4 linked regions of the Caenorhabditis elegans genome follow. The protein of the gene in region 4 purifies or fractionates together with the protein of the main gene of each other region. This does not show direct contact. Each region holds a gene or a part of one and is shown on either strand. Other genes may lie near its edges.

Region 1 (6,244 bases), on a different chromosome or scaffold from region 4:
TTTTTCCCCGATTCTTCTCGAAATTCTCCAGTCTCCAGAAATGTCAAAAGTTATCGAATGTGAAATTTGCAATCTGGAGTTCTCAAGTGTCAATGAAGATCAGGTTCCAAGAATTTTGAGTGAGTATATTTTTTTCTGTCAAATACGAATACGAAGCTTGAATCTAAAAATAGGTAAATGATTCAGAATGTGGCCACTCGGTTTGTCAGTGCTGTGCGACAAAACTACTAAAAAACTCGGCGATTTCTTGTCCATTCTGCCGGGAAACAACAAGTGTCAGTGCGGTAAAGGATCTGCAAAAGAATTTTGCACTGCTGCAAATAATTGAACACACGAAAACTGAACGTGTAGAAGAGGTACGATATACTAGATAATTTAATTAATGAGAAAGTTTTTCAGGAAGATGAAGCAGATGTACCGCCAAAATGCGCGACCCATAAATATAATATGGCGGAGTTCGTTTGTCTTGTGAGTTTTTATCTGGAAAATTTGAAAAAAATTCTGGAATGTTTTAGAAACTTCTAGCAATTAAAAAAAATTCCCGAATGGTCTAGAACTTTCTGGAAAATTCAAGAAAATTCTGGAATGTACTAGAACTGTCTGGATAATTCGGGAAAATTCTGAAATGTTTTAGAATATTCTGGAAAATTCAAAAAAACTCTGAAATGATCTAGAACCTTCTGGAAGGTTTGAAAAAATTCTGGAATGTTTTAGAACATTCTAGAAAATTTGGGAAAATTCTGGAATGTTTTAGAAACTTCTAGCAATTAAAAAAATTCCCGAATGTTTTAGAAACTTCTAGCAATTAAAAAAAAATTCCCGAATGTTCTAGAACATCTAAGAAAATTCAAAAAAAAACCTGGAAACTTCTAGAAAAAAATCTCCGGAATGTTCTAGATCCTTCTTAAAAATTCCAAAAAAATTCTGGAATGTTCTCGAACCTTCTGAAAAAATTATAAAAAATTCTGGAATGTTCTAGAACCTTCTAGCAAATTTCAAAAAATTCTAGAATGGTCTAGAACCTTCTGTAAATTTTGAGAAAATTCTGGAATGTTTTAGAAACTTCTAGCAATTAAAAAAAATTCCCGAATGGTCTAGAACCTTCTGGAAAATACAAGAAAATTCTGGAATATTCTAGAACCTTCTGGAAAATTCGAGAAAATTCTGGAATGTTCTAGAACCTTCTGGAAAATTTTAGAAAATTCTGGAATGTTCTAGAACCTTCTGGAAAATTCGAGAAAATTCTGTAATGCTCTAGATCATTCTGGAAAATTTTAGAAAATTTTGGAATGTTCTAGAACCTTCTAGCAATTTTCAAAAAAACTCTAGAATGATCTAGAACCTTCTGGGAAATTTAAGAAAAATTCTGGAATCTTCGAGAACCTTCCTTAATTCTCCTTCCAGGACCCCAACTGCTCCTCCGACGAAAAGCTAATGTGCCGAACTTGCGAGGAGTTTGGAGTTCACGCCGGACACTCGAAGGGCCTCCTACAGACGGAAGCTTTGAAATTGAGAACGTTGCTCAAAGATAAGCTTTTAAAGTCCGAAGATCAGATTGTTCAAATTGACAAGAACATTGAAGAGGTTGACAGGTTAGTTTAAAAAGCGGTAGATCACAATTTTAGCTCGCTGAAATTTCAGCGCCCAGCAAACAAATCAAGTAGATGGGAAGGTGTTTCAAGATAAAAAAGATTTGGTTAGTGATTTTTTTTTGAAACGGGGACGAAATACAATTCCAGAACATTTTCAGATATCCGTCTACTATACCTCAATACGAGAGACCTTAGATGCCCAGGAAGCCCTTGCAAATCAAAAACTACGCGAAATTGCAGAATCCAATTCAGCTAGCAATAAATTACTACTAGAAGAATTGTCGGAATCCCTGGAAACCCAGAAATTGAAAAACGAGAAATTAAAGTCGTTTCTGGGAATGAGCAACGCGGATTTGTTAGCTCTAAATTCAGAAATTCAGCTCTGGGATGACTCGGAAAATACAGAAGTTGAGCCTATTCAGTTTGATGTAGCATTAAATTTTCCAGAAGTGAACAGGTTAGCTGTGGGTAAGTGGATTTGGAAGGAAGTTGGTAGATCAATGTCAGGAAGTTTTGTAGATGTGGCAAATGCTTCAATGTCAAGCTCTCTGGAGCCAGATGTAGGTTTTAATGATAATTTAGCATTTGTATTATAGGTACATGAATTTCAGAATATAACCCTGTGGCTTTGAATGTTCCAAACAAGGCAGTTTTTTGGTTTTAAAGTTTTCAATCATTTTTTACTTTGTACAAATACCGATAAACAACCGAAAATTCAACTCTCCAATCCTGATTTTTTTGGCCCTTTTCGGGCAATATAAATTTTTGAAATGTCTAATTTTTTGGTATTTTATTTTTCTGAGTTCTCATATTTTCTAGGATTTATTTTTTATCTCTTTTTTCTCCGCCTAGCCTACATTTAAGCTTAAGTCTAAGCCTAAGCTTCATCCTAAGCCAAAGGCTAAGCCTAAATCAAAGCCTAAGCATAAGCCTAAGCCTAAGTCTCGAAAACTTGAAAATCGGAAAACAAAAATTTACGTTTTTTCGATTTTCCGGAAAATCCAAAAATCGAAAAAAAAAATGATCTAAAAATTAATCATAAAATACGATTTTTATCTAATTTTTTTTCTATTGATAAGAGAAAAAAATTTCGAAAAATCAAAAAAAAAAACGAAAATTTTCGATTTTTCGATTTTTCTAAAATAAGCCCGCTCCCGTACAAACAGTGCTATAGGTGCTCGGCAGGTTTCAGGCAGGCGCCAGGCTCTGAAAACGTTTTATTTTACGAAAAACTATTACGAAATCCGTAGTAACTGACCACATAGAATTAGCAATAGTGTTGAAAATGGTGTATCTAAACTGATATGAGTCAGCAAAAAATATTTACCGGTTTCCGTGTATTCTTGGTCACCAAATTGTTATCGTCTTATCGCAGTGTCAGCGGGAGAACTCCCAAGACCATTCGTTTATTTTTCCAACCCTCCGTACAGTTCCGAAATGTCATTTATTGAGTGTGAAATTTGCAACGAAGATTTCTCAAGTGCCACCGATGAAAATATTCCTAGGATTTTGAGTAAGCTTTTGCTACCTTTCCTAAAATTAAAAAATAAAAATTCAGGATGTGGCCACACAATTTGCCATGGTTGTGCAGAAAAATTGCTCCAAAACTCTATGATTTTATGTCCATTCTGCCGGGAAGCAACTAATGTCAGTACAGTGAAGGATTTGCAGAAGAATTTTGCATTGTTACAGGCAGTTGAACACGCTAAGACTAGAACTGAAGAGGTTTTTTTTTCTAGAAATAAAGTTATACATATAAATATATATATATATATATATACATATATATATTTATATATACATATATATATTTATATACAAATATAAAATTTTTCAGAAAGATCCCATTGATTCACCGCCAAAATGCGCTTCTCACCAGTACAATTTTGCGGAATTTGTGTGCATTGTGAGTTCTTTATAGGTTTTGATAGGCCCCAAAATGTCAACTGTAAAAAATTTTTTAAAAAACTTACTATTAGCAGCCGACAACTCGCCGGTTTCTGAGAGTGCGAGGTTAATAGCCAAAAAATAATGGTACGTGGGAGCCTAGTTCAGGCCAAAGTCTTGGCCTAGATTTTGCTCAACTTTTGTGGTCAAGCTCGGCATTTGGCTATAAATTCTTGGCCAAGTTTTGCCCAAAAAATATTAGCTTGGATCAGAAGTTTGCTAAACTTGGGCAAAACTTTGGCAAAACTCGGATTCAGGCTGCACCAAAGGTTTGGCCCAAACTTCTCTTATTTCGTTTCAAACTTATGTAGAAGTTTGGCAGAGTTGGTTGAACCTTTTTTTAAACTTTGGTGGAGTTTGAATCCAAGTTTTGCCCAACTTTTGCTCAACGTCTGAAACAAGTTATTATTTTTTGCGCCAAACTTGGGCCAGAAGCTAGAGCCAAATGCACCTCTTCTTGCCTGAGAAACTAGCATTCTTTCCAGGAGCCCACCTGCTCATCTAGCGATAAGCTCATGTGCCGTACCTGCGAAGAGTTTGGAGCTCACGCCGGACACAATCGAGGCCTACTACAATCAGAAGCGGCAAAGTTGAGACAGTTTCTGAGCGGGAAGCTTTCAAGATCCGAAGACCTGGCAAGTAAAATTGATGCGAATATCGAAAAGATCGGAACAGCTCAGCTAACAAATCTCGACGATGGGGAGGTATTTCAAGAGAAAAAGGTTTCGATAATAGCCTTCTACGCTTCAATACGAGAAACCTTGGATGCTCTCGAAAACGATGCTCTTGCGACGCTTCAGAACATCGCGGAAACTAACTTTTTCACGAACGACCTGCTCATCGCAGAGCTATCGGAATCCTTGAACCGGCAAAAGCGAAAAAGTGCGGAGCTGAAGCTGTTTATGAAAATGAGCAATGCAGATTTGCTCGCGGTGAATTCTGCGCTGGAAGTGAGCAGCGAGAATGAGCTCTGGACTGAATTTGCTGATGTTGAGCCTGAAGTTTTTGACGCAGCACTGATTTTTCCAGAGATGGATAGGCTTGTCATACGTAGGTCTTTGAAAAAATATTGATTGGAAAAATTGGATTTTTCAGAAGTCACGAAAGTTTCTAGAATTGACAACAATTTGTCTCGCGAGTTTGAAGAATTTTGCAGGGCTAGGAGGTAAGCTAACGAGAGAAATATGAATTTTTATATAAAAGTTTTTTTTTTCAGACAACCTGCTAGCTGCTCTGATTGATGCCAACGACGGTTTTATAGGATATTTAATTGAAAATGTTTGTACATAAATAAAAATGTGATTGATGATTTTGTTGCGCTTCAAAAGCGAACAGACATGGGCCAATCTTTTTCAGAGTTTTTTTTCTACAAATTCGGCAAATCGGCAAATTTGCCGGTTTGCTGATTTGCCGGAAATTTTCAAATGCGGCAATTTGCTGGAGATTTTCAATTTTGGCAATTTGCCGATTGCCGGAAATTTTTAATTTCAGCAATTTGCCGGTTTGTCGATTTGCCGAAAATTATCAATTTCGGCATTTTGCTGGTTTGCCAATTCATCGGTATTTTTTAATTCCGGCAATTTTCCGGTTTGCCGATTTGAAGACATTTTCAACTGCGTCAATTTGCCGGAAATTTTCAATTTTGGCAATTTCAAAATAGATATAAGAAGATTCATAGGATGCGTACAATTTTACCGATTAAAATTGAAATTCTGAAACTTCCAAAAAAATGTGCAAGACCACAATTTGGCAAAAAATGTTCCACAGTTGCCGTTTTTCCGGCAAATTCGGCAAACTGGTAAGTTAGTTTTAAATTCCGGCAATTTGCCGATTTGCCGATTTGCCGGAAATTTTCAAGTGCAGCAATTTGCCGATTTGCCTATTTGCCAAAAGTTTTCAATTCCGGCAATATGCCATTTGGCCAATTTGGCCGGAAAAATTATTTGCCGCTTACCCCTGAGCGATTGAAAAACCCGCTTGTGATATCATGGGTAAAGATTCCAAGAGATTTGACTCAAAATCGCTGAGACGGAAGGATTATCAGATTATCACTATGGTTACCATGCGCCTGTAGCTATTTTTTAATATTTTTGCTCACCAAGATAATGCTCAAGAAGATTATGATCACCATAGCAACTGAGCTCTATCGCTGAGCTGGCTCCGCGGCTCTCCTCATTCCATCTCCTTTGGGTGCCTACGGAATGTGCGCCCTCCTTTTTTCTCTACTATTGATTTTATGTTAATTTCTACTAAACTTTGCTGGTTTTAATTATTCTCGACAGGTCGAATAAATGCTTGAGCAAAAAAAAACTTTTATTTTAAAAGTTTCAAGGTGAGCAAAACTTGCTAATATCCTTAATATTTTTTTCTGTATTCCAGACTCGGCTACAACTCCCACCGTCAGACACGTCATAGTAACTTACTTCTTCAATTATATCAAATTTTTAAAAAATTTTATTTTTTCATTTCTGCTCTTGTGCACCATCGTCCTAAAAAAAAGTGAGTTATTTTTCTGGAAAATGTTTCTTTTGTGTTCCGATTTTTACGAGTTTTTTTTTCAGAAATTGGTGATCTCGTTATGGAATTAATTGTTGAATTATTGAATTAAAATTGTTATAATAAATTGTTTTTTGTTTTGGTTTTGTTCCGCAAATTTTTTACCATATGGTATGACGTCATAGGGTTGTGACGTCACTACTAAAAAG
Region 2 (7,836 bases), on a different chromosome or scaffold from region 4:
GGATTTCCGCAAATAAAACAATCCTCCGGAAACGTATCGTCGCCTTCATGAATCTCGTAATTCGCATCGTCTTCAGCACCATATTTTCCTGCTTCGTACTCCTCATCAATCTCCCATCCGTGTTTATAGTCCGATCGGTCGTGCACAAATTTACACGAATCTCCAAACGTACAGAATCCAGTCTCCTTGTAATCCTTGCAAATATCCGGTGCAAAATCCCAACGGACTGTTTGTCGTAGAAATTGTGGCGCCCGAACGGGCCCAACTCGATTATAACCACTTGCAGCGTTTCCCTTGGCCGTATCCTTCGCCTCTTTGGCTCCATACAGTGCACTTCCCTTGTACAGAATTTTTCCGTCTTTCTCGACGCCTTCCTTCAGTTGCTGTTGGACTCGTTCGAATTGAGCCTGGGCATCGTGTGAATAGTCTGTGTCCACTTCGAGTGTTGCAGTGGCACCTTGATCACGTGGTCCAGATGGACCGGCATCTCCTGAAGCGGCGAACGAGTGAGTTGCTACTGCGATATCCTGATTGTCGTCAGAGTCGTCAGAATCATCCGATGAATTATCAGCACGTCGTGTTGAGGCGTCTAGTTGTTTGGTCTGAATTTCAAAGTTTATTGGGATTTTCCAAAATTTTGGAGCACTAAAGTACCAAGATCTCACCGACTGGACCATCGGATTCGTACGACGTCGCTTTTGAATCACATCCTTCACTTCTGAATCTTGATCCTCATCACTTGAGCTTTCCTTTTTACGAACGACGGGTGCATTGCGCTTTTTCGGTTTTCGGAAGAGATCCATTATCTGAAAAATTAAAACTATTTATTAAATTCAATTAATTAATAAAGCTTCAAATCTGACAAACGAGAAATACAATAAAACGGTTCAACATTATGAGAGGAAGATGAATCAAACAATAGAGCTCTACAGCCGAAATTTTTGGCGCCATGGAAATCATTTTTCAAATTGTCTCCAATGTGCAAGATTTCCGAGGGAGAAATTAGATCGAAATGGTTGACAACTAGCTGGAAGATCTTCTCATCGGGCTTTTCGTACCCAATTTCGCCGGAGAGAACTGTCATGGAGAAAAGATCGAGTAAATTGAATTGAGAAAGTAGAGATTTCAAGCGACTATCGAAATTGGAGATGACAACCAGGATGATTCCTTTCAGGCGAAGTTTTTGCAGAGTTTGGCGCGTCTAAAATGAAAAATTGCAGTATTTTTTTTTCAACAATTCACAAAATTTACATCGCTTTCAACTAGTTTCCACGGCTCAGGAGTTGCATAGTGATTGTACAAAGCTCCAGCGATCACTTCAACCCGTCCTTTTTCAGAATCCGGAGCACACTGAAACTATCAAGTAGGGGACTTGCCTAATTCAGATTACACCTACATCCAAAAGCGTAGAAGAAACTACTTCAATCCACCAACTTTTGTTTCCAATTCCATTGAACCCAAAGCAGGGCGATGCGATGCTCATTCGTTTATAATTTTTAAGAAAGCTTCCCATGATTTGATCGGAGTCGACTTCCAAATCATATTGCCTCGCGAAACGGGAATAAACTATCGGTGGAGACTCTTTCATCGTGATTAGTGTATCACGAGCATCTAGGGAGAGAACTTTCACGACTGGAGGGGTGGAAAGGTTACGAGAAGTTGTACGGAGCAGGTTGGAGAGCATTGAGCTAAATATGGAAATCTAGAGTTTTTTTTAGATTTCCAAAGAAAAGGTTAGTGTGTTGATTGAAAATTTTCCTCCAAATTGGCCGAAAACAATATTTTAACGACGGAAATACTGCATTTTAACTATTTAAATGACGATTTCGTAGAAAATAATATTGGAAGTATCGGAAATCGATTTTTCGAATTCAAACATCAGGAATTTTTGAGAAGTTTTTCGAGATGCATAGGGATAACACTAGGCTTCTTAAAAGAAAAAAGGTTTTTGCATCCGAATTTCAGAGATATTTCTGTAGAAAAAAAAGAGTTCAATTTACTGTTCAAACTCTCCAAATAACGATTTCTCAGCCAAAATCAATTAATTTCCAACACCTGATTTTGAACAGAATAACAATTTTTGAACAATTTAAAAGAAATCTTATCACAAAATTCGTTCATTTTGGCTTGCTTCGAGTATTTAGAAGGAAAAACTAGAGATTTCCTTGACTCCACTTGTTTCATCGATTAGGAATACTTTATCTAAAGATATTTTTTATATTTAAACCTATTTCTTTATTTAAAATCCAAAATCGCAAGAAATCCCTCATAAATTCGTCAAAAACAAAAATAAACTAAAAAAACACTTTTAAAAAATCGATAAAATTCGAAAGACCCGCGTGCGGCACGGAAAAAGTGGGCGGAGTGCGCCGAACGCAAACCACTCGCACACTTCTCATACACTCCGCCACAACACGCTCCACCGGAGTGTGTGACACAGCGCGCCAACTTGAAAATGGCCGAGAGAGTGTCTCGTGCTCAGGTCATGCGCGGCCTAGTTTTACCATGTGATTTTGACGCCAATTCAAATGATCACATTTCCTCGTGCTTTGCAGCGCTCCTTCTCCTCGTCCAAACCCGTCGAACTCGTGCTTTTCTCATCGCAAAACTGCTCGCTGTGCGTACATTTTCACAGACAACTCAAAAACTATCTTAAAAAGCATCCCGGGATTGTTGTCGTCGAGAAAAATCTCGCCCAAGAATCGCCAGAGCTAATTGAAGTGAGACTTTCTTCTACGTCTACGTTTTTTTTGTTTTGTATTCTATTTTCTCATTTAATAAAAATATAAATACAGAAAATTTAAAAATAGGTAGTTTAAATTCCTAATTTTCAGAAATTCAAATACGACATTCCCGTCCTGGTGGCCGGAGATAATAAAATCCTTCTGAAACATCGATTCAGTGGAGTTCTACTCGAAGAAAACCTCAAAAAATGAGCAACTGCGAGATAATCGCGGTGCACGGAGGTTTGCGCACACTAATTATCGATTTTTTGCGGCAAAATTTAAATCTTGCAGGTGCGTGTGCTAAATTCGACGCAAGTCTTGCCGAGGACTGCCGTTTTGCGTGTGGTACAGGCACTGTTGAGAATGCGTTGACGGTGAGGAATTCTTTTTTGGTTTTCTCACGAAATATATTTAATTTTTTTTGCAGGATCTTGAAAGAATAGAAAAGTTCAACTGTGGATTCGGCTCACATTTGACTATCGATCAAGAAGTTGAATGTGAAGCATCATATATGTCATCCAAAAATTTAAGGTTTCCCTAAAAACCATACATTTCTCCCTTACCGATTATTTTCAAATTCAGTTTCGGCGCGGTCGGCGCGATTTCCAACGTTTTCCATCCGTCCCGAGTGGCACGTCACCTTGCACATAGCAATTGGTGGAAGCAGCGACGTCTTCTTCATCCCCTTATTCTTGTTGGTCGTGGAGCAGAGAAATATGCTGTTAAAAATGGTAAATTTCTGAATTTTGAATTTTAAATCTCGAAAAATCATTGGATTTTCAGATTTTCCAACGTGTACACCTGAAGAACTCGTATCAAAAGCGGCGAAAGAGAGCTTTGAGAAGTATTTACATCGAATGCTTCATCCATATGATACACATGACACTGTAGGAGCTATTTCAATTAATACCAATGTAAGGATGAAGGAAAATTCGAGATTGGTTCCTTTTCTCAGGGAAATGTGTTCAAAATATGAAAAATTAGCGCATTTCTTCTATCAGATCCCAAGAAATTTCAGAGTTCCCGAAAAAAAAAGCCTTTTTCGAAAAAATGGCATTTTCATTAATATTTTGCTAGAAAAAACCGAATTTCAATGCAAATTCCGCCCTTTTGACTCAGATTTTGCCTAATTGTCCACAAAAACCGTTTTTTTAGTCGAAAATTAGCATTTCTTCTATTAAACTCCAAGAATAATCCGAAAAATATATTTTTAACTACTTTTTGACCAAAAAGTCCGATTTTTCAAAATGAAAAATTCGTATTTTCCGTTAAATTCTTACGTAAAAAAGCTATTTAGGCTGAATTCTGTGAAAACGCTGAAAAATCCGATTAAAAAAAAATTTTCGCCGAATTTCGATGCAAATTTCGCGTTTTCGATCCAGAATTGGCCACAAAAAAAAAGTTTTTTAATCGAAAAATAGCATTTTCCTTTATATTTCTATGAAAAAAAAGCAGTTTCAATGTGAGTTTCTGAAGAAAAAAGGTGGAAAATCCCATTTTTAAATCTATTTTCCACCAAAGTTCTATCAAAATTCTACGTTTCCTTGTGGAATTTTCATTTTTCCCGGAACAAACAGGTTTTAAAATTGAAAATTAGCATTTCTCCGGCAAATCACACGTATAAAAGCTATTTCGATCGAAATACGAGTTTAAAAAACCAGATTGTCAACTCCATTTTGGCAAAATTCTATAAAAATCTCGAATTTCCTCTATTTTAGCCGGTTTTGGGTCTAAATTTCTCTGAAAAAAAAAAACGGTTTTCAAATAAAAAATTACCACTTTTCAGTAAAATGCCAATTTGGTTTGCAAAAAAAAAATCGATTTTCAAAAGTTTTTCCCCCTGAATTCTATCAAAATTTCGTATTTTTCCAATTTTCGCCACGAAAAATGTCTTTTTTGCAGACAATGAACTCAGAATCCGGTACTTCAAGCGGTGGAATTGTGCTAAAACACTCGGGACGGCTTGGTCACAGCTGTGTATATGGAAGTGGAACATGGTCTGAACGAAGGCAATACGAAGAACCATTTGATCAAGTCAGTGAACGAACCATCTCGATTTGTTCGACAGGACACGGTGAATCACTTGTGAAAGCCGATTTCTGCAGGGGTATCGCCACGAGAGTGCTGTAAGTTTGGGAAATTATTGAAAATTTGGAGATTTTGCGCGCACTGGATCATTTTCCGTAGAAATAACTTAAAACTGAGCAGTTTTAGATGTAAATCAGCATGAAAATCCACAATTTTGATGATTTTTGAATCTTTTTTCGAACAATTAGCACAAAAATCTATAATTTTTGGAAATTCTGACCAGTTTTCTTTTTAAAAAAGTTGCTTAAAATTCGGGGATTTTGCGCGTTCAGGACCATTTTCTGTAGAAATTGCATAAATTGGGACGTTTTTAGCGATTACAATTTTACAAAGGCAATTTTCTCTCAAAATTAGCACAAAAATCCACAATTTCCTATCTATTTTCTGCAAAAAATAGCTCAAAATTCGAGATTTTCATATATTTGTGATCTGAAACAAACTGCAAATCCAAGTTTTTTACCGTTTTTCTTGAAAATGTAGCACAAAAATGTAATTTTTGACTGTTTCTAAACTTTTTTCTCTTAAAATCGGCAAACAATTGATAAATTAACAATTTTTAAATTATTTCCCTTACAAATAGCTTTAAAAATTGTAAAAAAAAGAAAATTTAATATTAAAAAAGATTTTACGACTAAAAAAAAAGAGATAAATCGCTGCGAGACCCTAGTTACCATAACAACAACGCATCAATTTTGTTTCTTTCAGAGACGACGAGGAGGGTATCATGTACAGTGAGATTATTCGAGAATTCATACACGAAAAAATGGAACAGTAAGTAGATTTATTATTCCATTCAGAGCAGCATATTTATATTTAAATAATTGAAAAATTGAACATCGAAAGTTCGAAAAAAATGAAATTTTTCATAAAATTTTGTATCTGTTGATGAAAAAACATAATAAAGCTTTATATATATATTTTTCGAAAAATCGAAAAATTGATTTTTTTTGCAGTGGATCCCGATACGGTGGCATCGCATTGATCGCCGACAAATTCAAAGATCGAATGTCGCTGGAATTTCTGATTTTCCATAATTGTCGATATCTTCCGGCTGCAGTTCGTTGTCGAGACAATCAGATTCGTGTTTTTGAATCACAATTCGATCCGGATCAATGTACTACTGATCCTAAATGTGTTATCGAGTCATTCATCATGTAATAATATGTATATGATATCAAGAATTCCGCGTTTAAAACTTAGAAAAATCTGGAAATTGTGTTTTTTTTTCGGAATTTTCCGGGGTTTGAATGCGGAAATATACAAAACAACTCCCCCACTCCATCCGATTTCTCTCTCAATCCTCCGCTGAAGAATATTTTATGATTTGAAATTAAAATGAAATGAAGAATTTTGTAAATATTTTAATTTTTAAACTTTTAATTGTTTTTTCTTTTATTGAATTTATTCTAGTGCTCACTTGCTCGCTTAGAAATATCACTGATTTGTTATTATTTTTTAAAAACTAATTTCCCCCTTCTACAGGCTTTTCCCCTAACAAATGCCGAGAAAACAACGCGTTGTCACTACACCGTCACCACCGACTTCAGATGAAGATGAGGATATGGATTTTGGCTCGACGAGCCAGCAACAGCAGCAGCAGCCGACACGGAATAATGATGGATTGAGGTTGAGAATTTCAGTTGGAAAATTATAGATTTTTCAGTTTTTTTTTTCGTGAGAAAAATCAGATTTCGTGCACAATTTTCACATAAAAAACTAAAAAAATCAGTTTAAAATTCGATAAAAAACTTAATTTTTTCCGATAATTTCAAAAAAAAAAATTTAATATCAAATTTCAAAAATTTCAATTAAACTCCAGATTTAGATATATTTTTCTCAATTTTTACTGAAATTTCTCTGCAAATTGCAATAATTTCGATGCTTTCTTCACTGAAAAACCCATAATTTTCATTTAATTTCATTTAAAACTAATATATAATTTTTTACAGAACCTTTTATGGAATTTTCTAGAAAAAAAAGTAAAATAAAGAATTTTTCCTGTGAAGTTTAATAAATATGCACCGTTTTCTAGAAAAAAAAGAAAAACCATGGATTTTTCCGTTTTTTTTTTTGAAATTCATTTCAAAAACCGAAAAATCAGTTTTTTTTCCATTTTTCCTCAATCAAAAATAATTTTTTTAAATTTCCACAGAAAATGCAGAAGTAAATCGGAATTTTTTAAAACAAAATATGAAAAAAAAATCACAAATTTCTTCAAATTTCTCCTGAAAAACCGAGAAAAAGGCTGTTTTTTTCCTGTCAAAAACTCTAAATTTTCAAATTTTTTTTTTCAGTGGCTTCAAAAGTATCACGGAAATCATCGCCGAAGCTGACAATAATATTCCATCCGAACAAATCGATAAGGATATCGACAGTTTCTCTTCATATTCGGATATTTCTGATTGGAGAGGAATTCCAAAGTTCTTTCCATCGTTGAGCTCACTTTCACGGCGAGCTTCTACTTATGAGAATTGGGAAAATCGATTCAAAGTCGTCGATTATCTCGTTTCTTGTGCGTTTTTTGGTGGAATTTTGGAAGTATAAAATATTGCTCTAAAACCCGATTTTGAAGAGAATTTTTTTTAATTTAAAAAACCACGAAAAAGTTCAAATTTGCTATATTTTAAGAGGAAAAAAGTGCCCAAAACTCATTGATAATTTCCTGAAAAAGCAGAAAAATCGACAGTTTTCTCAATTTTTCTCAGACCAAAAAATTGAAAAATTTTGATTAGAAAAAAAAGATTTTTCGGTTTTTTTTTGTTGGAAAAAATAAAAAATTTCAAAAAAAAAGTAAAATGTTTAAAAATTTCGAAAAAAAATTGAAAATTGAAAAACCTAGAAATTTGTACATGCATATTTAGTTGAAAAATACCTCAATTTTTAAAAAGCTTCTAGAAATTTTTTTAAAAAGTAAATTTCCTCCTGTTTTTCCTCCGATTTTCGAAAAATTCAAAAATTTTCGCTGAAAAATTGTTTTTTTTCGGAGAAAATCTTTGAAAAACTTTGATTTTTCATAGAAAAC
Region 3 (9,816 bases), on a different chromosome or scaffold from region 4:
TTGTAGGTATGTATCACACTTCCGATGGTCTACAACTACGTCTCGCACGTGAAGAAGGGTATTCATCACGAGATCCGGTACTGTAAGGGTTCTGCTAAAGACATTCTCAACGAGGTCTCCTCGATCCGTTCCAACCGTACCGCCCGTCAAGCTTCTTACGGAGATTCTGGTGCCGCTGGATCTGCTGGGGCCGCTGGAGGATCCTGCTCTGGATGCTGTCTTCCAGGTCCAGCTGGACCCGTCGGTACCCCAGGAAAGCCAGGTCGTCCAGGAAAGCCTGGAGTAGCTGGACTTCCTGGAAATCCAGGACGTCCACCACAAGCTCCATGTGACCCAATTACCCCACCACCATGCAAACCGTGTCCACAAGGACCACCAGGAGTTCAAGGACCACCAGGACCAGCTGGAGATGCTGGACTTGATGGACAGCCAGGAGGTCCAGGACAAGATGGACAACCAGGTCAACCAGGACCAAAGGGACCACCAGGAGTCAATGGACAACCAGGAGCACCAGGGCAAGATGGGAACCCAGGTCAAGATGCTCCATCTGAGCCACTTGTTCCAGGAGAACCAGGTGCACCAGGAGAGGCTGGACCACAAGGACCACCTGGACAACCAGGAACTCCAGGACAAAATGGTCAACCAGGTCAACCAGGACCAAAGGGGCCATCTGGACAACCAGGACAACCAGGATCTGATGGAAATCCAGGACCAGCTGGACAAGCCGGACAAGCAGGAAGTGTTGGAGAGAAGGGAATCTGTCCAAAGTATTGTGCTATCGATGGAGGAATCTTCTTTGAGGACGGAACCCGACGATAAACTGTTGATAATTGCATTATTTTATGTATCTGTTTATAAAGTTTTTTGTAGTTTAAAATGCAATTGGAATGAAGCGGAATGTTGTACAGTTACATTTTTTCAGCAATGAGCTGATACAAATGAACCAGCTCACTAAGTTAAAAAAAAGTAATTCCCTTTGTGGTTTTCTAAAATTAGAAAATAAATAAAACTTTATCGACAGACCTGGAAAATTGAAAAAAAAAAAACTGCACATAAAAAGTTAATTTTACTTCAATTTTATATTTCCATCTGAAAAATCAAAAAAAAAATGAAAGACATCTGCCACCAATGGGCAGATCATCGGAGAGGCTCCTAGTAGCGGGGAAAATTTAGAGAAAAGTCACCTCGAACTGAAAAAGAAAAAGAGCGATATGAAGTTTTTCGGGAAACGGGTTCAATGGAAATATATTTGTTTCTAACTTGAAAAAGTAAAAATTACAGAAAAAAACAAAATTGCATCGTTGATGAGAGATTGGGGAAACCGAATAGTTGGGAGGGATGATTTCAGAAAACTTTTGTAAAAGAACAACTAGCTTCTAGAAAGACGGAACCGGTAGAGCAATGAGAGAAATTTTCTATAGAAAATGATTTTTAGAAATCATTTTAAAAAAATAAAATAAAGAAGTAGATTACAGTTGCGATACGCAAATTTTGTCATTATTTCGATGATTGAGTTCCATTTCATCAGGTTTTGGTAATTCACAAATCTGAAATTAATAATATAATTTTCAACAAATAACTGGTGTTAGTTTATACCTGATCCATATTCTGATTGAATGTTACACGAGTCTCTCGATCCAACTCTTCCATTTCTTCATTTTCTTTTGAAACACAGCATCTAAAAAAAATAAATTTCAGGAGATTTGTTGTTTTAACTCAAAATTGTGATCCAAAAATCAAAAATATCACCAAGGAAAAATGACAAAAATAAGAAGTAAATCCAACATCAAGAATTTAAGGTTTTTCCACTTTTGTCAATTTTGCTATTTGAATTCCCTCTAAAGTTGCACCAACGAGACCATTTCGTGGTACACTCACTTTTCGAATGGGGTTCTAATTTAAAATACTCAAAATATTGCTGACAAAGAAGAAACTCAAAAAAATTCAAGAAATAATTGAAACTACAATTTTTGAAAACATGGTATTTCAACGCTGCCTAATATCCTTGTTCTATGTTTGGTGGGAATTCAAGCAGACATCTTAGCCAGGGTTGCAGAGGCATATTTTTGAATTTTGGATTTTAAAACGCAACAATATTTTCTACAGTTTTCATTTTCATTCATGATTATTTTCCATTTTAAATGCATTAACGAAAAGAAAGCATCAGTGAATTTTTTTGATGATAATTTATTTTATTGATGAATAGTATAAAATTTTTTCTTATTTTTTTACCCTGAAATCCAGAGACTAATAAATCTTCAAAGGATTGAAAATCAAAAACTCACAATCGCCTTTTACGCTTTGTTTTTCCTTTCAATGAAGCTGTTTCACTGGGCGGAGGAGTATTTCTTCCACCTTCAAACATCACTTCTGATTCAACAAATTCACGTTCCGTCGCTTTTTCTAGACACTGAAGAAGATGATGATGTTGGATTTCGAAGATATCTTCGTCTCGGAGAGCATCGAAAGAGAGATGACCTGCAAAAATGCACTTTTTAGAGTTATCTCAATTATAATCTAGAATTTTGTACACATAATTTTTTTTTAATGTTTCACATTGCTAATAAATTAAGTAACCGAAAACCTAAAACATTAAATATAAAAAAACGGAATAAAAAAAAACCACAGAATCTGTTTTTTATACCGGATTCAAAATTTGTGCCCTCTTGAGCAAGCGGAATCACGAACTGTTTTTATTAATTTTTAATTTTAATGTTTTATATTTGCTTTTTTTGAGCCAACAGAAATGCCAAGAGACCGAAAAACAAAATGGAATACTTTTCTATATTTCCAAAGTTAAATATTTTTGTGACAACTCAATAATAACTAACTTAAGCCGGCAATACGAAATGTTCTAATGAAAAAAAAAACCAACTTACCCTGTTCAAATGCTAGCATCCGAGCTTCATGAGCTCTCTTCTTATTGAATAATGCTAGTCCAGACGCGTTTTTAACGATCCGAATTCTAGCAAGACGGGCTTTCTGAAAATTGATTAAATTTAATCCAACAAATTTGCAAAAAAATCACTAAGTGTTTAAAAAGGTTTTACAACTGAACGAAAAACCATACCTTCTGTGCTTTTCTCTTGTCAGCTCTCTGATTTTGATGATAAATTCGAGAGAAATTGCTGACAATAACTGGAACTGGAAGAGCAATAACCAACACTCCAGACAGTGAGCATACTCCTCCAACTATTTTACCCATTATTGTTGATGGAACCATGTCTCCGTATCCAAGAGTTGTTAGCTGAAAGAAAAATTAATTTTTTATTATGAAAAACAATGACTGTGTTGTATGAATAGGTTTCACCTTTAGTCTTCAGTGATTTGTATAATTAAAAAAAAAATATTTTAATTTTTAATTTTTCCAATGCAAATATTAACTTTAAAATTTACATTTTCCTAGTGCATTTGGGATAAGGTATTTGCAAAACGTTGAAGGTTTTATGGAGAGTATTTAACGTAAAAATCAAAATTTCAACCCCGTTTCTTAATTTTACAAAGAAAAACTCACAGTCACAATTGTATACCAGAAAGCTGACGGAATCGAGGTAAATCTCGTCGCGTCGACCTTTTTCTCCGCATAATACATAATAGTGGCAAATATGATAATTGCCATTGCCAGTGAAAATACAAGGAATCCAAGTTCACTTGCACACGATTTAAGAGTGTAACCCAGAATTCGAAGACCTTGGGAATGTCGTGAGAATTTGAATATTCGGAAGACACGCTGTAAATTTTAGAAGGATTTGATCAAAGAATTAATGATTTTTATCAGAATGTTCGAAAAAATATTTGGATATTCAATTTAAGGATTAACAAAAGAAAAAACTTACGAAAACTCTTAAAGTGACAAACAAGCCGGATACATCCTTATTGTCAGTTAGTACCAAACTAACGTAGTAAGGCATTATGGCAATCACATCGATTACACTCATTATTGACCTGAAAAAAGAAAACCATTTAAATGGTTAAAAAAATAAGGACGAATAAATAACATGTTATCCAATTTTGACAAATGTGTCCTTAATTATTTTACAGTTTCATGATTGTTATGAGAAACATCTCTATATTTTTGAACTGATAATTTTGAACAAAACTTTTGAAATCATAAAAATGCATTAAAGACGGGCTAGAGGGTCATACTGAAATGGTTGAATTTTGTAATGAGACTTCTCAAAAAATTTTCCAATTTTTTTTTGGCGGCACAAGATTTTGAAAAGAATTACGATTATTTTAGCTCAAATCTTGAATTTCGCGAACTTTCCCATAGCATTGGGTAATTCGTTTTTATTTGATTATTATTCCTAATTGCGTTTTGCTAATTTATTTTTGTATTAAATAATTGGTTGATTAAATTGTCTCTAAAGCCGATAGGTAATCAAAAAGCGTCAAAATTGGATAATTAGAAAATTCAAAATTTTATTGCTGTTTCAAATGAGTTTGATAAAATCAGTGAATATTTAACTTATTAGTGTGAGAAGTTTACATATTGATATTAAAAGAAACGTACCTCATAAATTTGATTCGGTCCGGCGCAGAAATCAACCGTAAAAAGTACTCAATCGTAAAAATGATAACACACGCTGTATCGATAACAAAGAATTGCTCTTCATAGGCTTCTCCACACGTCACAGACACATTATCCTCATACCCACAAGGTATTGTTTCCACTATATTACACATCACTGATACAGCAATAAAAAATCCAATGACATAATAAAATACAAGTGCTATTGATGTTGTGTGCGGATTCTCGAATGCCGCCCACATTTTCTCTTTAAGAGACAATTTTAATGTTGATATATCCGCATTTTCTACACGTTCTTCTTGTAATCTTTCTTGATTTTCTCGTTTTTTATCTTTATAGTCTTCATAGCAACAATCTGATATCAAATCAGGCATTATTCCAAAGAAACTGAGCTCTTCGTCGTATGCAACAAGACATTCATGACGGGGATACTGAAAATATGGATTTCTGGGAAAAATGGAAAGTGGCGCATTTTAATAGATTTCAACAAGTCACCACATACTCAAACGAAAATCTTAAATTTTTCAAAGATTTTTTTTATTAAAAAATAATATTGAAAATTATAATACAAAATAAAATTTATTTTGAAATTAAAATTTATTTTCGAAAAATATTACTCCGTTTCCTTTGAGAAATATCTAGCAGTCTTACAAGTTCATACTCATACAGTGTTTGAGTAAAACTTATTAACGCATTATTAAAATAAATAAAAAATGAGGAATCGTCACTTTTGAATAAAATTTTAAAAAAAATTGAATTTATAAAGGATTTACTACATTATTAGGCCATTTAAGCACCATTAGGCATAATTAATTTAAAATATTCTCCGGCGATGCTCCAAATTCTCAAAAAGCATTGCTCAAAAGATTTAATATTTTTCTGAATAAAAATTGCATCTATTTTACAATCAATTGAATTCTGTATATTTCCAAAAAAAAATTGCAAAACAAATGCGTAAGTTTGTAGGCAGATATTTTTAATTTTAACGCCTGCCTGCTGCCCGCCTGCGGTTTGTCTGTAGGCTCGAGACAGGTCTATGCTGCTTTGTTGGTAGACGGGGACATTAGCGCCTATGTGAATGGGTTAAAATTTGATTTTTTATAGAAAAAATGTCAAAGCATGATTCTACATTTTAAGAACATTTTCAGCGGAAGTTTAGAAAGTTGAAGAGAGTTTATTTTTAAAAAAACTGTTTCAAAAAACATTAATTTTTAATGCTTGCAATTTTTTGTCTCAAACTGGCTCAAACAACAAAAACAAACAACTCACATGCAATTTTCCCGTTCTATAAAATGTGAGAATGTGTCGGAATATGTCCGGATCCCTATCGAAAAAGTATTCCCCAGTGTCTTCATCATAAAAGAACTCTTTTTCATTTGACCCCAATAGAGTCTCTGGGAACTTTTCCAACGTGTTCTTCCACGTTTCGAACCTTCGTCCTGATATGTTGATTGCTAGTTTTTCGTCAGAGACATGATCAACCGCGAGGTCTTTGGCCTGAAATATCACATTGAGAGCTTGTGAACATATAGAGATCTACAGGCAACACAAAAAATTAGTTCATGAAAAAGAGGAATCTGCCAAATAAATGAAACAGTAAAAATTTTGCATATCCAAAGTTCAAAATGTATATTTAGTTTCCCTCTCACTACGGATCCTGGAACTAAAAAGAGGATCTAATCTCTCATTGCATATGACACTCGTATCAAATTTCCAAATTTTCAAAAGACATCGACCACCTAACACGTGTGTGAACAAGAATTTATGAAAGAATTCCGTATTTTTTGATGTTTGAACCTTTTCCGCGAACAAGAATTCCTAATTGTGAGAACGTGGAAATTTCCACTGTTTTATAGTGTCTATAAATGACCGAATAGAAACACAGAATGCTGCCTAAGTGTCTCTCATTAAAAATGAAGATGTGTGGCGTCACACAAAAATTTTTAGAAATATCACAGTGTAAAAAAACATCGGGAAATAAATATTTGGCGCAATTTTTTCAGATCAAATTTGGACTACTTTATATTTAAATTTAGAAAATTATTCCCACCAAACCTAACCTGTATTGCAACTGGGGCCTGTGGCATGGGCTGTCTCGAAATGGGAACCCATCCGATAGCGGCGGCTCTCGCGAACGGCAGCCACGCCGCCACCGAAGCCATTCTGAAGAAGACAACGACGACGGATTCTGAACACTTTTCCTGATGACGTCGTTTTCAGGAAAATTTTTTCTATTTTGCTGGGTACGCTGTAAAGCAGGAGTTATGAAAATAATTTTGAAAGTTGAAGCGAATTAATGAAAAGAAAAGAAATCATTTATGGGAATTGGAAATATATTGAAGAATTTGAAAGTTTGATTTTTTTGAAAACTTATATTTCAAGTGGTCTACAACAGCAGTTGCTTGAAAATTAAATAATCGAGCTTTCGTTTGAAGTTTGAAATAAATTAATCGAAATAAAAAAGGGTAAGTCTGTATGTGTTTTGGGATAATAACATATCATAAAAATACAGGCGCATAGGTAGGTCGGTCGACGTGAGATATGCGGGTACATTGGAAAACCGGGGTTTCAGAAATGTTACATTCTGGAAAGAAATTGGAGACACAAAGGGCTGATGACTAAGTTTTCGAGTTCAAGATAATTCAGAAATATTTTTAGAAATTACGAATTTTAAAGTATGGAGCCATATGTAGTATATGTTGAAATTTGTAGAATCATTTCAAATGACTGTGAAACGGAAATTTTAGTTTGCTATGCCAAAAAATATATAACTTACGGTTTCACTTAAAAATCACAGGAAAATTTTCAATTTCAAAATCAAGATTTTCAAATCAATAATTTGTTTTAAGCAAACATTTGCAATACATCAACTACGGTAACTCTGACCTAACAACAAAAAAAACTATGTTTTTTTCTCAGAATACATAACCTATATAGCTGAATAGTGGTCTCAAGCCAAAAGTGAAGTCTAGAAGGCTTGCACGTCACAAAAAACTGCAAAAGTGCACTTGTTTCAAAAAAAAACGTTTTTAGAAACAGCAGCCAACTTTAAACTTTTTGTCGTTTTGCAAAAACATAAGGTTCTTTCCCACTCCAATTTTGATGGTTTCCTTGGCGCAGAGCTCCAAACGGGTGACGACGTGTGGGCTCAAATTACCCGTAAACGACGCGAGACGACGTCGAGATCGGTTCGAGAAGCAAGAAGCCGTGGGACAAAAGAAAATGTGAAGGAAAGAAAAGGAGAGAAAAGAACTGGAGGGAAGGAAGAAGTGTTACATTTCCAGTTTCACACTTTTCCTCTTCTTTTTCAATTTTATCCAATTTTGTGTGTAAAGAGCCCTCTTCTCTAAAGGCTCGCGGGCTCCTTGATGCCAGGAAAAGAAAGAGAAAACGATAGACAAAATTGGAAAAGTCGACCTCTTCTGAAGACATCTTCAGACTAGAAAAAAAAGAAAAAGAAAGAGAGAGAGAGAGAAAATGAAACTCGATATTCAATTTTTGCCTGAGAGGAGATGACTTGCTTTCCTCGATTTTTTGTGCTTATTTCGGTTGAATTGGATAAAGAGAGAAGAAAAGAATAAGCAAAATAAGCTGAAAAAAGAAAAGGCACGTTACGGAAAAGTTGAAGAATTGTTTAGAAAAAGTACAAGTTGAAGTTCATCTGAAATCACGTTTTGGAGGGTTTTTAATTGTTTTTGAAAATTTTTGAACTTTTTGAAAAGTTTTTTGAAGGTTGATTATGTGTACTTCAATTAGTCAAATTAAACTTCATGTTAGGAAAGAACACCATTGCCTACCTGCCTAACGCCTAATTTCTACATATTTGGGTGAAGCATGGTGTTTGATAGTCCCGTGGATAATTTTGCGTGCCTAACCCAATTTTTCTTGTTTACTTGATTTGTTGAAATTTTAATTTAGACTTTAAAAATGCTTGCTTTGGCAGTAGTTGACTGGCTCTCCTCATTTTTTTTGTGCTTTTTTCGGTTAAATTGGATTTAAAAAAAGAGGAAAGAATAATCAAGAATGAACTAGTTGATCAAAATAACTATAATACGTACCGATTAAAAAACTATTTTAAAAAACTATTCATAATAGTTGTGAAACGTTAATATTTTGAAAGTGGACTGTCACTTGTGGATACATTGTTTCTAACTGTAGTTCTCACTGTTTTAAACACTAATGCAGTATGTAACGAGTTTTGTAGAATCATTTCAAATGGTTGTGAAACGGTAATCTCTTAAAATACGTTAATAGTGCTATTAACTGTTACGATTTCCACATTTGAAATGCGGAGGCGTACTTTATGTAGTAAAATTTGGGCTAGGCGAGCCTGCCTGCCTATCGCCTAGTCTTCCGAATTTTTAAAATAATTTGTTTTGTGTTTGCGGGGTAGATTTTGCTTGGGCAATTCTCATTTTCCGGAATCAATAAACTCATTGAAAGTTTTCTAGGAACATACACTCAATATGATGAAACTGTGTGGCGTGTTTGCACAGATTTCAAAATTTAGGCCTGAAAAATTAGGGCACCCAGCAGTTTTAGCATTTTGAGTGTATCAAAACGCATATAAAACATGATGTTGTTTATCTATCATAGGGGTTCCTTAGAATTTATCAAATTTTAACTGTTTCACGAAGTCTTATTGTGTCAAGTCGTCAGATTTTGTATTATTTACTTTTTATGTATATCCAATATTTATGCAATCAATTTATTAAAACTAGAAGCTAGACAAGGAAATGCAATAAAATTGTGAGTATCGCTAGAAATAATGACTGTATACATTTCTCAAGAAACAGTAAATTAAATAGGCATATTTTGCAGAAGTGCAAACAATCACTCTGACAACGTAAGAAAACAATTGAAAAAGCTAATAAAAAGTAAAATCGATGACTGTTTCCAATTGCATCTATATTTTTAATACTCCCAGTGAATAATTTTTCAGTAAACAAAGAGAAGGTATGGGAGTCTAAAAAAACAAAAAGTCAGACGAATGTTGCAGTTAGTGAACCTAACAAACTTTCACACCCATATCCCGTTTCACAATTCACTTTTTCTCTCCATCTCTACTCTCTCTTTTTCTAATTTCTAATTGTTAGTGGCAGATGCTCAAAATATCAAAGAACGATATCAAAAATGACTACTTTGAAAAAGTGAATGAGGATCATAGTGCGATAGTTTTCATAGACTTTGTGAAACAGGGAATAAAACTTAATTTTTGTCTGAAAAATATTTGACCAATTTTTTGAAATGTTTGTAAGAATTTTACTAGTCACAAGCTTTAGGAA
Region 4 (6,979 bases):
TAAAATTTCGAAAAGTTCAGAGTTTTTAAAGGTAAAATTTTTTTTATGAATAACTGAAATTTTGAGCATTATATATATATATATATATAGCATTATTTATATATATAGTCTTATATATATATATATATATATATATATATATATATATAGTCTATAGGTATATATATGTATATGTCAAATTTATATGTTTTCTTATTTTTGTAAACATATTTTCCGATTTTTCGGAAAATCGAAAAACCGACATCGTTAGGTTTCCAATTTCGAAAAAAAATTTTTGAGAAATAATTTTTTGCGGGAAATCCAAATTTCAGATTTCAGCAAATTTTTCGGAAAACGTTTAAAATTTGACGAAATTCTAGAATTTACATTCCAAAAATTCGGATTTTTCAGCGTTTTTACTCAAAACCGCGCCAAAATTCTCAAATTTCCATCGAAAAACATGGAATTTTCAGTTTTTCAGTCAATTTTTTGTGGTGGAATTTTCAATAAAAAAGCAGCATTATTACCTGACGTGACAAATCACCACCAGAAGAAGCAAGCCATCCAGATACTCCAAAATCGGCAATTTGAATAGTTCCATCGTCGGCGAGCAGTATGTTGCCGGCTTTAATGTCACGATGAATTTGTCCGTTTAAATGGAAATATTCGAGTCCTTTTAGTACTTCACGGAGTACTGTAGCAATTGATACTTCATCGAGGACACCGAATTGCGCCTGTTCTTTTCCAATTGCCTGAAATTTGAAGATGGACATTTTTGCGCGGGAAACGGGGAGAGCAGCCGACAGTTAACGGGACCGTCAAAAGCGGCCGACACCTCCGGGGTCCTAGGGGTTCCAAAAACAGAAGCAGCCGGCCCCCGAACAGGTTTTCATAAGAAAGCCGCGGACATATTCCGGGTGTGCGATTTTCGCTTAACGGGACCGTGGAAGGGAGCAGCCGACATATCCGGGGCCCTAGGGATCCCCCGGGACCCGGGCTCTAAAAACTGGGCAATGAAGCATCCGACATCTCAGGGGCCCTAGGGATCCCCAATCAGAAGCAGCAGACACCTAATGGGTTTTCAAAAAAGAAGCAGCCGACATTCCACCGGGCACTTGAAATGTTCAATAAAGCAGCCGACGTCCCACGGGTCTCCAAGTGAGAGCTGCCGGCATATTCCGGGTGTGGGGATTTTTTGAGGAAAAATTGTTGTTTTTTTTTGCCAAAAATCAATAAAAAAATGCCTTTCTAGCTTGAAATTATAGGAAATTGTAATTTTTTAGCTCAAAAGTTCAAGAAAAAATAGATTAGCGTTATAAAATGCTTCAAAAACTGCATTTTTCGACTTAAAAATTCAGAAAAATTCGATTTTTAGCTTAATAATCGTCAAAAAACCGATTTTTCGGCTCAAAATTGTTCCTATTTTCGCAATTTTTGTTGACTAAAAATTAGTTAAAAACAGGCCCTCCCGGGTACTCAGAAATGTGTACTGAAGCAGCCGACATCTCCTGGGCACTCAAAACGGGAGCAGCGGCGGACGTCTCACGAGTTTCGATAAAATTGCAGCCGACACCCAAGGGTGCCCAAGTTGGAGCAGCCGACGCCTCGCTGGTTTCCCTAACAAAAAATGCAGCGCCGACGAATTTGCGGGTCCCGGAAAAACGCGCGTGCGTGTTACTGCGGAATAAAAAAGCAGCCGACATCTCCCGGGACCCGGATTTTTCTGGGGGTTTTTCAGGCCAAAACTTGACCTCCTCACCTTAACTTTGCGTTTCAAAATGTCAAGCATTGAACCACAATTGAGTAGACGCATAACAACCCATAGTTCTTCTTGTGCAATAAATGATGTATAATAGCTAACAACATTCGGATGATTACACTGGGACATTGCCTGAATCTCATGACTTAGCTCATCAACCGATGTTTGACACTTTTCCAGATTTATGCATTTGATGGCGACTTTCTCGTTTCGTGGAAGGCAGTAGGCCTGCAAAAAAATTGTGGGAATTTTAAAGGTAGAGCCGACCGAAATTTGAGACTTTTGCTTTTTTAGACCCAAATTTGGTCCAGATCTCCGAATTTTGTAATGAGACATTCTGAAAATTTCTCAAAAAAAAGTTATGGCGGTTCAAAGTTTGGCAAAATAAAGCCCATATTCAGCTAAAATCAATATTTTTTCCAACTTCTCAGTGTCACAATGCCTGGAACCTAATTCTTATTTAATTATCACTTTTTAATAAATATTGTGGTTTTTGAGTGGGCGTTTATTCGTTGATTTAGGTACATTTATGGTCTTTGGGGTACAAAATTTAACTTTTATTTGTGCCCCACTGACATATGTACTTAAATCAACGAATAAACGCCCACTCAAAAACCACAATATTTATTAAAAAGTGATGAATAAATAAAAATTAGGTTCCAGGTATTGTGGCACTGAGAAGTTGGAAAAAATTTTGATTTTAGCTAAAAATGAGCTTTATTCGGCCGAACCGCCATAACTTTTTTTTTGAGAAATTTTCAGAACGTCTCATTACAAAATTCGGTAGTTTTGGACCAATTTTAATAAAACATTAATAAAACAAAAGTCTCGATACTCACCACCTTAAAGTAAAATTAGGTGAAAATCAACATTTTCACCACTTTTCTCTTGAAAAAAACGAGATTTTTCGGAAAAATTTAAATTTCCCGCCGAAATTTGGGGTTTTCTAGCGATTTTTCCGGGTTTTTCCAAAGACAAATTAAAATTTTGGCTGAAAAATTGAATTTTTCAGATTCAAATTCGTTTTTCTGAAGGTGTCCAGTTGAAAAATGTGGAATTTTTACGCAAAAATTCAATTTTTGATGGATTTTTCGTTATTTTGCTCATTTTTGAGAGGAAAATCACGGCTCACTTCGTGGTGAGACCCGTCGAAAATTTTTTTTCGGGGGAAATTTAAATTTTCTGAGAAAAAACAATTTTTTGGCGGGAAATTCAAATTTTTTGAGAGAAAAAAAAATTTTTTGACGGGAAATTTAAATTTTCTGAGAAAAAAAAATTTTTTTGGCGGGAAATTTAAATTTTCTGAGAAAAAAAAATTTTTGGCGAGAAATTTAAATTTTCTGAGAAAAAAAAAATTTTCGGCGGGAGATTCAAATTTTCTGAGAAAAAAAAATTTTTCGGCGGGAAATTCAAATTTTTTGGCGGGAAATTTTAATTTTTTTAGAAAAAAAAATTTTTTTTGACGGTTAGAAATTGTAATTTTCGCCATTTCGCCACTTTTCCGGAGATTTTCAGTACAAAAAGTGGATTTTTTTTTGCGTTTTTTTACCCGAATTTTTGTCTAAAAATTCGGCTTTTTTTGACATAGAAATTGTAATTTTCAGTCAAAAAAGAAGCAGCATACAGTAAAAACGGTAGCAGTTGCTCCAACTCCAATCGACTCATCCAACTTATAAGCCGACGGTTCTGTTGGCCATCGATCGGCCGGATTAAGCTGTGCAACAAGTGCAGCTGATGCTGCTGCAGCTGCCGCAATCGGTGATGATACTTGAGGTGGTGGTGGTGGTGGTGGTTGGGATGGTTGTGATCCTGCAACAACAAAAAAATTAGGGGTGAAATTCATTTTTTGGGCCTAAAAATTGCGCGATTTTTGAATTTTCTCACCTTTTTTGTAATTTTTTTTTTGGTTTTTTCAAAAAACCATTTTGGTTTTTAAGGTAAAAATTGAAAATTTTTACATGGAACATTCAATGTTGTATGTACTTAAAAATGTAATTTTTAAGCAGAAAATTCGATTTTTTTTCAGCTCAAAAATTAAATTTCGTTGAAAAATTCGACTTTTTACACATTTAAAAAGGTAATTTTTACCGGGAAAAACGTTTTTTTTTTAAACAAAAAAAAATGTATAAAAATCGAATTTTTAAACTAAATTAAAACATTTTTGGAGTAAAAATAAATTTCAAATGAAGAAATAGAGTTTATCTGCCTAAAAAATCATATTTCCTCGACAAAAATTGAAAATTTTAGAGTAAAAATTGAATTTTGTACTCAAAAATGACATTTTTAAACAGATTTCGTTGAAAAATTCGACTTTTCACAGGAAAAACTCTTTTTTTCTTCTTGAAAAATCAATTTTTCCGATTAAAAAAATTTGTTTTTTTTTCACAAAAATCGGAAATGTAGATTTTATAAATTTAATTGATTTTAATTGAAAATATTAGGGTTTTCCAAGTGAAAATTGGTTTTTTTTATGTGAAAAATCAAATTTTTCAGCTAAATTAAATTTTTAGAGTGAAAATCGAATTTTTCCGCCAAAAAATTATATTTCCATGAAGAAATTGTACATTTTAGAGCAAAAAAAAATCGAATTTTTTATTAGAAAAATTAAATTTGATCGTAAAAATTCGTTTTTTTTTCTCAAAAATGTAATTTTTTAAGGAGAAAAATTGATTTTTCACTACAAAACTTCAATTCCGTTGAAAAATTCAATTTCCTACAAAAAAAATTTATTTATACCCAAAAAACCAATTTTTCAAAGCAAAAAATACATTTTGTACCGGAAAATTTCAATTTTATTGTAAAAATTAATTATTTTCCTCACAAAATACCAACTTTAGAAGGAGAAAGATGTAATTTTTACTTTAAAAATTCATTTTTAACTTAAAAAAATTATTTTCGATTTTTTAAATTTAAATAAAAATTAAATTTTACTGGACCTGCAAAAATAATCGGGAAACCCCAATTTTTATTGAAATTTCTACTTTTTCTTCGGAAAAATTATTAGATTTCAAGCTAGAAATTGCCATTTTTCACATTTTTCGACCGCAAAAAAAATCCAAAAAAGCACCATGAAGTGTCGACGTTGATCCGATGCTCGATAATGTATCAGTGTTAAATGTTCCAGTTGTTGTCTGTGTTGTCGAGTATTCTGATGTTATTGTTGAAGCATTTGCAGCTGAATGAGCAGCTGCTGCAGAAGCTGCTGATGATGTAGTTGTAGTATTCGTGTTTCCTGCCAGATTCGAAGAGCTCATTTTTTATATTTTTGATTTATTATATATTAATTTATATTGTTGATGATGATGATGATGTACACAGGACAACACACGTATGAGACTCTGAAATTTTTTAATACAATATTAATAAATTAATTGATATCATTAATCAGTAATATCATTAAGGATATAGTAGATTTGAAAAAAAAAAAAAAAAACGGCTGGAAACTAACTTTTTGTAATCACAGTCTAATTTTGGGTCCGATAGTTCACTGCAACTTTTTCCTCACGAGGGACGAGGAAAAGTGGTTTCTAGGCCATGGCCGAGGGGCCGACAAGTCGGCCATTTATCTTGCTTTGTTTTCCGCCTGTTTTCTTTCGTTTTTCATCGATTTTTTTCGTTTTTTCTTAATAAAACTGATAAATAAATATTTTTGCAGATGCTAAAACAATTTCCAAGTGAAAAAATTATGTATTCAGTGGGCAAGCAGCGGTGAAAGAGGGCAATGTAATATGATGGATTACGGGAATACAAAACCTAAACTTTTTCTGAAACATGATACATATGATGCTTAGATGCTGAAATTACCTGATTTTCATAACGAGACCGCTGAAAAAGTTTTGAGGTTTTCAAAATTCAACTTTTTGTGCGAAAATCTCGACTTTTTCACCAAAAAAGTTGAATTTTGGAAACCTCAAAACTTTTTCAGCAGACTCGTTATGAAAATCAGGTAGTCTCAGCATTTAAGCAGCATATGTATCATGTTTCAGAAAAAGTTTAGGTTTTGTATTCCCGTAATCCATCATTTTACATTGACCACTTTCACCGCTGCTTGCCCACTGAATACATAATTTTTTTACTTGGAAATTGTTTTAGCATCTGCAAAAATATTTATTTATCAGTTTTATTAAGAAAAAACGAAAAAATCGATGAAAAACGAAAGAAAACAGGCGGAAAACAAAGCAAGATAAATGGCCGCTGAAACTTGTCGGCCCCTCGGCCATGGCCTAGAAACCACTTTTCCTCGTCCCTCGTGAGGAAAAAGTTGCAGTGTCAGTTGAAGAGGAAAAAAAAAGGAAGTTTTCACTCAAATATGACTCAAAAATCTGGATTTTTGAGCTTAAAAATTCAATTTCCAAAGAAATTTCCAAGTTATATATACGTAAATGTTTTTTTCGCTAAACAAAATTTTCAGCTCCGTTGAACATTTTGGTTTAAGGCCGAACAATATTTAAAGATTTTTCAGGCTTGAAATCATCCAATTTTTGAGCTAAAAAACGTGTTGCTTTTAGCTCGGGAAATTGAGATTTTATAGCTTAAAAATTATTTTTGAGATTTTAATAATTACACGACGGTGTTTTTCTGGATTTTTGCTCCAAATAGTAAAAATTACGGATATCTTAAGTTTCAATTGAAATTTTTGCGCGCTAAAAGTTCATTTTCAGCCAATTTCTCTCTAGAATTTCATTTCAAAAAAACCTTCAAATTGGGGAAAATCGTATTTTTACAAGAGTCTTTTTAGTCCGAAAACTGGATTTTCTAAATAGTTTATTTACCAAAAAAAATCCAGCTTTTCGCTGTTTTTTTTTTTTGTAAAAATACTTCATTTTGAAGACTTTCGATCGATTTTCTTCATTTTTAGGGGGAATTTCTACCAGTAATTTCCAGCGAAATTTTACATGGAAAAAAGCTCCAAATTTCAAATTTTCAGGAGCAGGAAAAAAATCATAAAAAAATCAAAGATATTTTCAGCCGGTACACATTGGAAACCGCTCTTTTCGTCTGAAAACACACACACAGAAATAAATAAATACAATATAGAATTGATTTAATCGCCTTAAAAATGCCACTTTTTCAGTGAACAAATTATAAATTTAGATGAGAAGGCAGGGAAATTCTATTCCAACAGCGGAAAAATTGGGGAAAAAAATCAATAAATTTGTCACAAATTGGGGGCAAAATATGCAATTTTAAACAATTTTGTGCTGAAAATGAGGTTTTCAGCTCAAAAAGAGCAATTTTAAG

The links.
Region 1: the proteins of gck-3 (region 4) and F43C11.8 fractionate together in Caenorhabditis elegans (co-fractionation; one large-scale study listed by BioGRID). This does not show direct contact.
Region 2: the proteins of gck-3 (region 4) and tasp-1 fractionate together in Caenorhabditis elegans (co-fractionation; one large-scale study listed by BioGRID). This does not show direct contact.
Region 3: the proteins of gck-3 (region 4) and shl-1 fractionate together in Caenorhabditis elegans (co-fractionation; one large-scale study listed by BioGRID). This does not show direct contact.

Annotation. Positions count from the first base shown.
Region 1 is NC_003280.10:2,329,491-2,335,734, forward strand, and holds F43C11.8 (RING-type domain-containing protein), read left to right. Parts: upstream 1-3,029; coding exon 3,030-3,105; intron 3,106-3,150; coding exon 3,151-3,317; intron 3,318-3,429; coding exon 3,430-3,498; intron 3,499-4,024; coding exon 4,025-4,589; intron 4,590-4,634; coding exon 4,635-4,704; intron 4,705-4,755; coding exon 4,756-4,780; 3' UTR 4,781-4,848; downstream 4,849-6,244. Other genes in the region: ZK1240.1 (RING-type domain-containing protein), read left to right, coding at 41-119, 187-356, 400-468, 1,405-1,592, 1,642-1,696, 1,751-2,060, 2,112-2,152, 2,204-2,224.
Region 2 is NC_003281.10:10,756,835-10,764,670, forward strand, and holds tasp-1 (TASPase homolog), read left to right. Parts: upstream 1-2,550; 5' UTR 2,551-2,720; intron 2,721-2,834; 5' UTR 2,835-2,932; coding exon 2,933-2,966; intron 2,967-3,017; coding exon 3,018-3,100; intron 3,101-3,153; coding exon 3,154-3,257; intron 3,258-3,308; coding exon 3,309-3,457; intron 3,458-3,509; coding exon 3,510-3,640; intron 3,641-4,628; coding exon 4,629-4,852; intron 4,853-5,519; coding exon 5,520-5,585; intron 5,586-5,767; coding exon 5,768-5,972; 3' UTR 5,973-6,172; downstream 6,173-7,836. Other genes in the region: rnf-113 (putative E3 ubiquitin-protein ligase rnf113), read right to left, coding at 1-602, 666-803; K01G5.10 (Haloacid dehalogenase-like hydrolase domain-containing protein 3), read right to left, coding at 842-1,201, 1,252-1,350, 1,397-1,684; dpy-28 (Condensin complex subunit 1), read left to right, coding at 6,313-6,440, 7,109-7,326.
Region 3 is NC_003282.8:6,377,290-6,387,105, forward strand, and holds shl-1 (BTB domain-containing protein), read right to left. Parts: upstream 6,782-9,816; 5' UTR 6,694-6,781; coding exon 6,592-6,693; intron 6,029-6,591; coding exon 5,801-6,028; intron 4,963-5,800; coding exon 4,514-4,962; intron 4,497-4,513; exon of another isoform or gene 4,476-4,496; intron 4,106-4,475; exon of another isoform or gene 4,085-4,105; intron 3,946-4,084; coding exon 3,837-3,945; intron 3,731-3,836; coding exon 3,515-3,730; intron 3,248-3,514; coding exon 3,071-3,247; intron 2,983-3,070; coding exon 2,880-2,982; intron 2,615-2,879; exon of another isoform or gene 2,594-2,614; intron 2,479-2,593; coding exon 2,286-2,478; intron 1,679-2,285; coding exon 1,597-1,678; intron 1,548-1,596; coding exon 1,470-1,547; 3' UTR 996-1,469; downstream 1-995. Other genes in the region: bli-6 (Nematode cuticle collagen N-terminal domain-containing protein), read left to right, coding at 7-819.
Region 4 is NC_003283.11:17,961,772-17,968,750, forward strand, and holds the start of gck-3 (Germinal center kinase 3), read right to left. Parts: upstream 4,993-6,979; coding exon 4,806-4,992; intron 3,548-4,805; coding exon 3,363-3,547; intron 1,967-3,362; coding exon 1,739-1,966; intron 732-1,738; coding exon 507-731; intron 1-506. UniProt on the Caenorhabditis elegans protein: Plays a role in osmotic stress responses by regulating ion homeostasis and by controlling cell volume via the phosphorylation-mediated inhibition of the chloride channel clh-3.